3 linked regions of the Lonchura striata genome follow. The main gene of each other region encodes a partner of the protein of the gene in region 3 in a complex. Links are inferred from orthologs where the notes say so. Each region holds a gene or a part of one and is shown on either strand. Other genes may lie near its edges.

Region 1 (3,746 bases), on a different chromosome or scaffold from region 3:
TTTCTGCCTGCCCTGACCCACAAGAACCATCTACTGGGACACAAGCATTAGGGAAAAGCCAAGTCTGCCAGCCACCGCGCTCTCGCTCCAGCCTCAGAGGAGGCGATGGCAGCGCGGCGCCGGGATCCCGAGCCTCGGGACGGGCCCCGCAGCGCCCCCGGCTGCCCCTGCCAGCGCGGGCACGGCCCCACCTCATCCATCTCCAGCTCATCTCCACCTCCACCTCATCCATCTCCAGCTCATCTCCACCTCCACCTCATCCATCTCCACCTCCATCTTCCTGCCGCTGCCCCGCCAGCCCGGACCGGAGCAGCGCCCGCCGCCTCCCACACGCTTCCCAGCGCCGCGCACAGCAGCGCGCCCTCCCCGCCGGCTGTCCCGGCTGTCCCGGCCCCGCCGCTCGTTCCCGTGCCGGGCTGCGGGGCCGGGGCCGGCCGCCCCTCACCCGGCAGAGCCATCGCGCCCTTCTCGCCGCGCTGCACCGGCCCGCAAGCGCAGCGACGCCTGTCCCCACCGGAAGGCTTTGCCCGGCGCACTCCCGGATCGTACCACTCCCAGGGAAGGCAGGGGACCTCAGCGCCCCTAGGGCGGGAGCAACGCTGGGAGACCCGAGAGGTGTGGAGAAGCCTGCCGACATTTCCCCAGACACGTTGTTTCTCAGTGAATCTCGGAAAGCCTCTGGCCGAGGACTCGTTCCTTCATCCTTTCTTCGGCTTGTGCAATTTCGTCCCCCCTCCCCTGGGCTGCATAGGGGCGCCCAGCATGGCGGGCGGCTCGGGGCGGTAGGAAGTGCTGGCGGCGGCGAAGCGGGTCCGGCTGCTGGGGAGGGCTCGCCGGCCGGGCCGCTCCTTTCCCCACCATGAGCAACATCTACATCCAGGAGCCGCCTACCAACGGGAAGGTGAGGCTGCCTGGGTGAAATCCTGGAGAAGCTGTATGTTGTAGGGTTATGGGGGGACAGGCGAGAGGAACACGAGCTGGGGTGGTGGTGATGATAGTGATGGTGGTGGTGGTGGTGGTGATTGGGGGTGGAGAGGTCGTTGTTTCTGTGGTTGATTGGTTTGGTTAAAGTTACTTCTTTGAGGCTGCCAGAGTCAAAGCATGTGGCGTGATGTTTGGAGACATAACACAGAGCAGTCCTCGGAGTTTTTAATTTAATTTTTAATTTAATTTTAATTTAATTTTTTAATTTAATCTGCTTCGGATTATAGTTTACCTCCTTAATTTTGTTATGATCTCTCACTGGATATTATGTTCCTTGTAAGGGCAATATCTGGATATTTATGGCTTTTTTTCCCCCCATGCTGCTCAATATAGAAATGATAAAGGGTATCTAAAGTTTCTGTGAAGCATCAGCCATCTTATGTTATGTGTTATGCTATGTTATGTTATGTTATATTATGTTATGTTATTACAACTATATTATACATCTTTATTATGCATATTGATTCAGAGCTGTATCTCAAGTTCTGGAAATGCTAGTTAGAACTAACAGTAGCTACCTGACATACTTAAATATATATCACTCTTACAAATATAACAAATTCAGATTTAATTTTTTTGGGCAGTTTTACCTTTGATCAGTGACTAAGTTACAGTAAACTGAGTCTTCATTTATCTGTGTGTTTATAGGTTTTGCTGAGAACTACTGCAGGAGAGATAGATATAGAATTATGGTCAAAAGAAGCACCAAAAGCATGCAGAAATTTCATCCAGCTATGTATGGAAGGTAATGATTGAATGGGGTGGGGAGCTGTTGAAATTAATTACTACGTGATCTTTGTGCCCTTTCTGTAAAATAGAGGTCATAATTATATTTTGACTTTAGTATGTCAATAGGTTTATTTGTGTTCAGAAATTATTAGTTAACACTCTGGCAATGTTTTTCAAGGTTACCAATGAAGCTAGTGGAGAAAAAAAATAAAAATTTTGGATGATTTTCTCAAATTAAGCTGATGACCTAGAATTGAAACATTGTCTTTCTGAGTCTTGAGAGGCTTTCTTTCAGCAAATGTCTACAAATTATAACAACATCAGTGTGTGCATAAAATGGCAGTGATACAATATTGGCCATTCTCCAAAACTGTCATTTCTGCATCACAATTTACACTATCATTTCTTTTTTCTTTTTTCCCTGAGCACTCCTTATGTTTCAGTTACTGTATTTTTTGATTGATAAAAGCTCTGTAAAACTTTCCAGCAAACTAGTGGGTTCTTGAATGAGAAGCTCCCTTTTGAGAAAACTGTAACAAAAATCTATGAAAGGCTTGATGCCTTTATATGTTTTCTAACTGGTATTATTCTCCTATTTAAGCATTTGTAAAATTGTGAAGAGTTCTTTTTGCCTTCATATGTTAAACAAAAATAGCAGTCTAAGCTTTGTGCCTCCAGCATAGATCCAGTCTGTTTTGTCCAGTCTCTTTTCCTGAATGTTGAGACTTTTTGCAATGGTAAAGGAATTTCTAAGCCCATGATAAAGGTTCATATGTGCTCAGTGGGTTTAATTTAAGTCTGATTTTTTTTAATTACTGTAAAGCATCTTGTGCTTTATAATACATTTAAGTATTTCTCATTAATATCCTAGCATATAACCATCCATGACTGTGTCTAGTTATGCTGCAACATTTGCACACCCTGCCTTATCTTGCAACATGCTACAGAATTATTTATTATTATTATTATATCAACCAGGGGTTTGATTCAGGTAAAGTTTTGTTTTCAATCCTTTTGTTTTCTTATGATCGTATAACCTCTATCAGATAGATAAAAGAAGATATCTTAGAGAGCAAAATGTACCACATATTTTATTCTGCAAAAATTACCAGTTTCAATACAGTGCAGGTGATTAAAGATGTTCTATGCTAGTGAGTGAAAGTGCAAATCATCTGTATATGGGTATTGCTAATGGCTAATGTTGTATGTGAGATCTCATCCAGGATACAGCACCATATTTCTAGTTCTCCTTTAAAATTGGTGCATTTTGATAGTGTCATTCCACTAATAAAATCTTAAAAGTTGAAAAGAATGTAATTCATCAAGGTCATCTTGTCAGTGATGGGCAGGATTTTTTGCAAAAGAAGCATGTGATACCACAGGTTGTGATTTCGTAAGTCTGTGGAGAATAGAACGGAAACAAATAGAAGCCAACAGTGGAATCTAGTTGCAGTATTTGCTTTCTGGAACTTCAGTCTCTGGATATCACTGCATGATCTGTATGAAAGTTTGGGTTTGAGACCACTTACATGTATTTAAAATATATATATTTCTTTTTCTTTTTTAGAGTATTACAATAACACAATATTTCACAGAGTAGTGCCTGGCTTTATTGTGCAAGGGGGTGACCCCACTGGTACTGGATCAGGAGGAGAGTCAGTCTATGGAGCTCCTTTCAAGGTGTGTATCTGTTACTTACACATTAATTTGTTGGGTATTCTCTATCCTTTGTTATTCCTACCAAGTTCTGAAAAATCAAATGTTACATGAAACACATACTTGAGCAGTAGTTGCCTTCATGTGCTACTTCAGTGTGTTTGAATATCCCCTTCTAAATTGAGAGTTCTTAGATCTAGCTATGCTGGTATAATGATAAACCTGGGGGCTCAGATCCTGAGCAAAGCTACACACAGGCTGAGCAGCTGTGTTCTGTTCTGTCTGACTGTTTTATTTCAGGTGGGGCAGGCACCTTTAATTTGTGACTGAAGCTGCAAAGCCTGTTTCTAGGCCTTCCAACTTCTTGCTGACTTTTG
Region 2 (3,746 bases), on a different chromosome or scaffold from region 3:
ATTGCGAGATGTCTCCCTGTAAACATACTTAAAATGCTTCTGTATTGGGTTTGCATGACCCCTTTTTTTGTAGCGAGCGGGCTACAGGGTTGACTTTTGTGAGAAGCTGCCAGATTCTTTCACCATGTCCAGCAGAGCCAATTCCTGGTGGCTCCAAAGATGGATGTGCCACTGGGCAAGGCCAGGCCGATTAGAAATGGCGGTAGCACCTCTGTGGTAACAGATTTAAGCAGGAAAATAAACAAGAAGTGTTTGTGCAGTTGTAGCTGCGGCCAGAGAAGAGCAGAGCGAGCCCGTGCGAGAAGCAGCCCTGCAGACGGCGAGGTCGGGGCAGGAGGGGCAGGAGGGGCTCCGGGCGCTGGAGCCGAGATTCCCTCAGGCCGCGGGGCCGCCATGGGGAGGCCGCTGTGCCCCGCAGCCCGTGGGGGCCGTGGGGATGCGGGATCCGCCACAGCCCGGGGAGGAGCCCCGGGCCGGAGCACGGGCATGCCTGGGAGGAGGCTGCGATCCCGGGGGAGACCCGTGGAGAGGGGCCCGGCTGCGGGCGGGAGCAGCCTGGCCCTGGAGGATGCACCCCGGAGCAGTGACCCACCCTGAGCGGGCTGGGGAGGCTGTGCCCGTGGAGGGACCCGTGGCAGCAGCTCACAGGGAGCTGCCGCTCCGAGATGCGCTCACGCTGGAGAGTTCACAGGGAACCGCCTCCCGAGCCTCCCCGGGGGCAGCAGGGGAGCGACTCCTCTCCCTGAGCAGCGGGAGAAGCCATGGGTGATGAGCTGACCATTACCCCCATTCCCTGTGCCCTTGCACTGCTGGGCAGGGGATAGACCTGAGAAGGGAGGAAGGTGGTTATAAGGGCTTATTTAATTCTCATCCTGCTTTGAGTTTGTTAGAAATAATTTCACATTATGTCTCCAAGTAGAGCCTGTTTTGCCTTGATGGTATTTGATAAGTGATCTTCCTCCTGCTCCTTATCTCAACCCATGAACTGTTTGTTAAATTTTCTCTCCTCTGTCCGGTTTGTGGACGGCAGTGAGTGAGCAGCTTTGGTGGACACCTGGCATCTGGCCACCATCCACACACTATAGCATCTTTAAGAGGTAGGTAAAAAGTTTTCTTTAACAGGCACTTTAGCCAAAACCCCACCCAGTCCTGAAGAACATTAAAATTTTATAGGAAATTTAGTCAGGATTCTATAGAAAATTTAATCACTAACCTCTTTGATTTGTTGCTTTTGCTATATACTTTCTTCTATCCTGCAACTTCTCTCTAGTTTCTTGGACTGTTTCAAATTCTGGAGCATAGCACACGTGCAGCAAACTACCAAAGAAACTTCGTTCATCCATTTTTTTCTTGGCCACCCTGAAGGGAATTAAAGTCTATCAACAAAACTGAGGATTTTACTTAACACATTGCAAGTACAGAAGGTGTAAAAGATTAAGACAGCAAGAGGCAGATATTGCCCTGTCCAATACCTTGCACATTGCAGTTTTTTGAATTTTATAAGGTACACTTCAGTAAACTGCTCTGCTGGATATTCATCTAAAGCATGATATTCCTCAATGGCACCATATAATGCAAATTGTTCAACTAACTCCTTCATAACACCTAATGCAGGAACTCCTTGTATCAGTAAGTAGCGAGATTCCAAGTTGATAGTGTAAACCTGAAAAAAACAAAAACAAAGACTATGAAAAAACATTCCCATTCTTGCTTTATTGCAAAAGGCATGCATTTTCTCCATGTTCTCTGTTTTTCTCCAAATCCTCTCAGGATGCTGAAAACCCACATGTACTGTTTTGCAGGGCAGTAAGTGCATGGTCATTTGGGACCTCTTCATCACTGAGCAAGAGATGAACTCATGCCTCTCATGCATAGTAAAACACAAATAGACTTGACTTTTCTACACAAAGTCAGAGTACTACTGCCAGTTCCCAAGTAAAATCTCTTACATCTCTGGCCATCTTCCATGCAAGACATACTAGTGACCAGTTTATAGGACATGCTGTCAAAATACAGAAAAAAAACACTGAAAAATTGGTCTTCATAGCCAAAGAAGTTGTGCAAGTGAGGAAAACTGCTTTTTTCCACACAGGGAGTAAAAAAATAATTACCACAATTCCCTGGGGTAAATCCTGTGTGTGCAGAGCTGTCTACTTCCCATGGTGATCCAACAGTGTACATTTTTAAGACACACAGATAAAATCTGTATGCTGAGAAAAAGAAGGTCTTCTCTCAGCAAGTTAAAAATGAAACCAACCATTCTTATTTGCTTTGTGACTGTCACATAACAGACTCTAAGCAAAGCTTGTTGATGGCTCACTATGTACAACAGACAGCTAGGCAGGTTATCCCTGAGATTAAAGGAAATTTATTCTGAGTTTGTTAAAAAAAACCCCAAACCACAAATATTTAGACTGCATAAGTTACACATATTTCTTAAAAAAACCCCATATTCTGGACAAAGTGAGAACTGCTTGGGAAATCAACTCTCAAACTTCCACTATAAAAGTTTCTGCAGGCAGGTCATGTAAGTTTTCTTGTGGCAGCTGCACACTCCCACCTACATTCTTTTGGGAACAAGGGATTGAAGGAATTTCAGGCTTTCACTATGTGACTGGTTTTTTTGGGAAGGTTTGTCCTTCTACCTCTTTCTTGTCCAGGAAGAAAAGATTCTAATAAGGTTTTTTCCACACTTGGGACATCCATACTGTTTCTCCTGTGTGTCTCCTCCAATGCCCAGTGATGGCTGGATGCCTGTGCTGGCCAGAGCTCTGTGGATGCACAAGGCTCTCTGTCCTCTGCCTCCCCATGTACACTTGGAAGAATAAAAGAACGTAACAGCTTTGAGACTTCATGAACTATGGAGGGTTTGAAATTTTACAGGAAGGTGGCACTGGCGAAAAAGATGTCCCTATGTTTGTGGGCACGCAGTAACCCTTATTCCAGCACTGGTGAGATTGCGCCTCGAATCCTGGGTTCAGCTCGGGGCCTCTCTCCAAGACACTGAGGTGCCAGAGCATGTCCAGAGAAGGGTCACAGGTCTGATGAGGAGCAGCTCAGCGAGCTGGGGGGCTCAGGTTGGAAAAAAGGTGGTTCGGGGAGTCATCATCGCTCTCTACAACTCCTGACGAGAGGCTGGAAACAGAAGCGGTTGGACTTCATGATCTTAAAGGCCTTCTCCAACCTTAGCGCTTCCTTTCTCGCGCCAGCCTCCAAGGTGCCGCTACGGCTCACTGTACACAGAGCGCACACAGAGATACCAAAGCTCTCAGCTCTGCCGCAGTAACGAGAAGCCCCGGCCGCGCAGCAGGCCAGGCCCAGGGCCTCCCTCTCTCCCTCCCGGGAGCCGCGGGACTCCAGCGCAGCCCCGGCCGCCCCCAGCCCCTCACGGAGGCGGCTCCGCCCGCTCACGCCCGCCCGGCACCTTCACGGCGCGCGGCCGCCACCCCTCGCGGTACTTGGCGCGCGACGCGCACGCTCCCAGCTGCGCGTGGTGCCGGCACGGAGCGCCCGGGCCCCCGCTGCTGCCGCCGGCCGCCATCTTCCCACCGCCCCCCGCGCCGCGCAGCCCCCCCATTGGCTCCCTCCGTGCGGCGGGAGGAGGAGCCGCGGTCCGCAGCGAAGGAGCCAATCAGAGGCGGGCAGCGGGAAACGCCGTGCCCGCATTGGCCGGCAGTGGGCCGTACCACTGCCCGGGGGTGGCAGGGAGCATTACCCCCCGCGCCGCCCCGGCAGGCGGGTCCGTG
Region 3 (3,746 bases):
TGAGTGGAGAGAGGAGCCCAAGGAGACCCCCACAGCTCCAGCTGCTCATCCCAAAGAGAGACAACACGCACACACACTGCATGTACAGGGCCATGGACCCTGCCCACCACAATGCACAGACCAACACTACATTTCTACCAGAAAAAGCCAAGGATGCTTTTTATTCCACAGAAAACTCCTTTGACATATGACATCTCCAATTTTAAATGCATTTGGAATTTTTTCCAAGTTTTCTCCCAGCCCTGGTGTCCAAGAAGCTGCTTTGGGCCACAAGCACAGCACAACTGCTGACTGACACAGCACTCTGCACTCAGCCAGCAGCACAAAAATTCCCAATGGAAACTGGAACAGATGGGACCTAATCTGACCTAATCTGAGAGTGGGATCAACCCAAAATGTCCCAGTATGATGTGTGCTACACACTGACTGTGTGGATATTTAACAGGTTGGGCAGAGCAGCTGTGGCTGCTCCATCCTGGAAGTATCCAAGGCCAAGGCTGGACATTGGAGCTTGGAGCAAGCTGGGATAGTGGAAGGTGTCCCTGCCCATGGCAGGGATGGGTTTTAAGGTCCCTTGCGACCCAAACCATTCCAAGAAGGTTTCCTGAGCCACAAGCTGTTGCTATGGAGCTTGATATTAGCCCCTTTTGTGTGCAACCCTACCCTGTGCTGCTGGTGGGGAGGGAAAATGTCTGTGAAACAGTTTGTCCTGCACTTCCTCTTGTTTTGGGTTCAGAACCTGGGAACTGGCTGCTCTCAGGTCAGTGGGACACCAAGCCAGAGCCCAGATGTGCCTCCCCAGCCCCACACTCACTCCATCTCGTAGACAGTGACCGGCAGCGTCTGCTCCATCAGGGAGAACTTCTTGGTTTTCACAGGTTTGATAATGGGCTCTGAAACAAGAGACACAACAACAGACTGTTCCCAGAGCCCCTGAACCAGGAATGGCCCCTGGAATGGGGACTTCAGCTGACAACCCCTCAATTTTGTGGCTGACAGATTCTCCCAGCTGTTTGTCAAGGCTGCAGGAGATGGCCACTGCAGGGCCCTTCCAGCTGAGCCATTCCGGTAAAGGAGATCACTTAACTGCATTTACTTCTCCCTTACACAGCTTTCCCATCTCTGCTGATTCCTGTTCTTCCAAGGTACCTTTGGGTTTGCAAAAACCACAAGTGCCCAAATCTGCACACAACAGGCAGAGCTCCTGAGGCTAGGAGGGGGCTCCAACGGGGCAGGAGAGAAGGGAAGATTATTTCCCTTTCCAAGGATCCATTAAGAGCCTTCTCCTCCCGCCACCTCCTCCCCACTCACCGGTGAGTGGCTGCGTGTCCTCCTCCTGCACAATGGTCTCCACCTCAGGCCCATAGACCTCCTCTGCCGTGGGGTAGTACTTCTTGTCCTCGTGCAGCACCACCTCCATCCCGGGGTGCTCCTCATCGTGCTCCCCCATGTCATCGTCATCGTCATCATCCTCCAGCTGCAACCAAAGCTCGCCCTGAGCGGCTGTGGGGCCCCCCAAGGGGACAGGCCTGGGGTCACCCCGAGCCAGGGACCCCAGTGCAGCCCCAGAGGTGCCCTGGGAGCAGCTCCTGGAGGAGCAGCATGGCTCTGCCCACAGCACAGGATCAGGAACAGCCCCTGGCCTTGCAGGGACACCAGCCCAGGCAGCGACCCCACACAGCACAAGAATCACACCCGGTAACACAACCCACCCCACAGGCCATGGGAAGGGGCTCCCCGCCCCTCTGCTCCCCCCGTGTCCGTGGGGTCTTGCTCTGCCTCTCCCCACCAGGATGCGGCTCCCCGCGGCAGCCTCGGCTCCCTCCCGCCGGACACGGACCCCGCCCGACACCAAACCAGCCGAGCACAGCCCGGCCCGGGAGCTCCCAGCAAGGACTCTGCATCTCCCTTTCTGCAGGAACAGCTTTTGTAATCCTTTAAACACCGGCACACTCCGACCCTCGGGCACTGAGCAGAGCCCAGAGTCACACGGGGCGGCAGCAGCCCGGGCCCGTCCCCGCTCCGGCTCCGGGCAGGACGAACCCCGCCGGCCCCGGGGCTCTTTGCCCCGCCTCACCTCGTCCAGGTCTTTGGCCTCTCGGCCCAGCTCGTCGTCGTCATCGTCCGAGTCCAGCTCGGGCCCGATGTAGTTCCCAAACTCGTCGTACAGGTCGGTGTCCATGCTGGGGGGCGGGAGAGGATCGGTGGGGGCGCAGGGACTGCGGGCCGTGACAGAACCGCCTCAGGGCACGGAGCCCCGGCCCTGTCCGCAGCCTCGGCCCGGTCCCGGTCCCGCTCTCCCTCACCCTCACCGGTCCCAGTCCCGGCCCCGGTCCCGCTCTCCCTCACCGGCCCCGGTCCCACTCCCGGTCCCGGTCCCAGTCCCGTTCCCGGTCCCGCTCTCCCTCACCGGTCCCAGTCCCGTTCCCGGTCCCGGTCCCGCTGTCCCTCACCGGCCCCGGCCCCGGCCCCGTTCCCGCTCTCCCTCACCGGCCCCGGTCCCAGTCCCGTTCCCGGTCCCATTCCCATTCCCAGTCCCGTTCCCGGTCCCGCTCTCCCTCACCTGCCCCGGCTCCGCTCCCGCCGCTGCTCTCGCCGGCGCCGCCGCTGCCGAAGGGCCCCGGGCCGCCCTCGCCGCCTGTCGCCACAGAGCGTTCCGCGCCCGTCGCCAGCGCCGCGCCCCTCCGAGGAGCGCCGGCTGAGTCCGGAGCGGGGTCGGGACCGGGTCGGGACCGGTTCCGGAGCATCCCGAGGGCCGCGGGGCGAGCGGGGCCGCGCGGGGCGGCGGGGCCGGTCCTGTCAGGCGCGGCCGGGGCAGCCCCGGGGACCTTGCGTGGCCCCGGCGCTCTGGCGGCGGGAGCGGCGCTGTCGCGATAGAGCGCGGCCGTGGGCTGAGGTGTTCGTCACCCGCGGCGCTGTCGCGATAGAGAGCGGCCCTGGGCTGAGGTGTTCGTCACCCGCGGGGCTGTCGCGATAGACCGCGGCCGTGGGCTGAGGTGTTCGTCACCCGCGGGGCTGTCGCGATAGAGAGCAGCCCTGGGCTGAGGTGTTCGTCACCCGCGGGGCTGTCGCGACACAGCAAGGGGCCCCGGGGCCGGCGGTGTGTCAGGGCCTGGGGAGTTTCGGGCAGGGGAGCGCTTCCCAGTGGCCATCCCCGTGCGCGGCCTTGGGGCTCACAAGGCAGGACTGTCGCGATAGGATCGGGGCTGTCGGGCCAGTCCCGGCAGCGCTGTTGTGACAGAAGTGTGTCCTCGAAGCCACCGCAGGCAGGGCTGTCCCTGTCCGCACGTCCCGCAGGTGCCTGCCCGCGGCCCGGGATGGAGCCGGGGATGGAGCCCGGGATGGATCCGGCCGGAGCGTTCCCGGCGCTGGAGCGGGAGCTGCGGGCGGCGCTGGCGGAGGACGAGCGGCGGCAGCGGGAGGGCGAGGCCAAGCTGCGGGCGCTCCGCCAGGGCGTCCCCGACTACGACCAGTTCAGGTCCGGGGCTCGGGGAGCGGCCCGGGAGGGGCCGGGAGCTCGGCTGGGCGCTCCCCCCGGGTCTGAGCTCAGCTCTGAGGGTCTGAGGCTGCCCCGAGGGACCCGAGGGCAGCGGCCCCGGGGTGCCCTGAACAGCCCCGGGGCAGAGCCCACCCGGCCGTGGTTGAGACTTGGCCCAGAGCTCCTCAGGTGGCCCCGTGTGGGCTGAGATCTGTCTCTGCTCCGTGCCTGACCCCTGTGGTGGCCCAGCTGTAGCCAGCAGTGGAGT

Evidence for each region.
Region 1: EFTUD2 (region 3) and CWC27 share a complex: the UniProt entries of both Homo sapiens proteins name them as parts of the minor spliceosome. The link is inferred for Lonchura striata from reciprocal best matches to the Homo sapiens genes EFTUD2 and CWC27.
Region 2: EFTUD2 (region 3) and RBM48 share a complex: the UniProt entries of both Homo sapiens proteins name them as parts of the minor spliceosome. The link is inferred for Lonchura striata from reciprocal best matches to the Homo sapiens genes EFTUD2 and RBM48.

Annotation. Positions count from the first base shown.
Region 1 is NC_134642.1:28,456,106-28,459,851, reverse strand, and holds the start of CWC27 (spliceosome-associated protein CWC27 homolog), read left to right. Parts: upstream 1-729; 5' UTR 730-859; coding exon 860-901; intron 902-1,632; coding exon 1,633-1,729; intron 1,730-3,280; coding exon 3,281-3,393; intron 3,394-3,746. Other genes in the region: protein SREK1IP1, read right to left, coding at 446-458. UniProt on the Homo sapiens protein: As part of the spliceosome, plays a role in pre-mRNA splicing. Probable inactive PPIase with no peptidyl-prolyl cis-trans isomerase activity. As a component of the minor spliceosome, involved in the splicing of U12-type introns in pre-mRNAs.
Region 2 is NC_134603.1:133,593,007-133,596,752, forward strand, and holds the start of RBM48 (RNA-binding protein 48), read right to left. Parts: upstream 2,662-3,746; 5' UTR 1,874-2,661; coding exon 1,473-1,873; intron 1,360-1,472; coding exon 1,214-1,359; intron 1-1,213. UniProt on the Homo sapiens protein: As a component of the minor spliceosome, involved in the splicing of U12-type introns in pre-mRNAs.
Region 3 is NC_134627.1:2,898,588-2,902,333, reverse strand, and holds the start of EFTUD2 (116 kDa U5 small nuclear ribonucleoprotein component), read right to left. Parts: upstream 2,650-3,746; 5' UTR 2,564-2,649; intron 2,184-2,563; 5' UTR 2,183-2,183; coding exon 2,078-2,182; intron 1,478-2,077; coding exon 1,312-1,477; intron 894-1,311; coding exon 815-893; intron 1-814. Other genes in the region: DNAAF19 (dynein axonemal assembly factor 19), read left to right, coding at 3,318-3,478. UniProt on the Homo sapiens protein: Required for pre-mRNA splicing as component of the spliceosome, including pre-catalytic, catalytic and post-catalytic spliceosomal complexes. Component of the U5 snRNP and the U4/U6-U5 tri-snRNP complex, a building block of the spliceosome.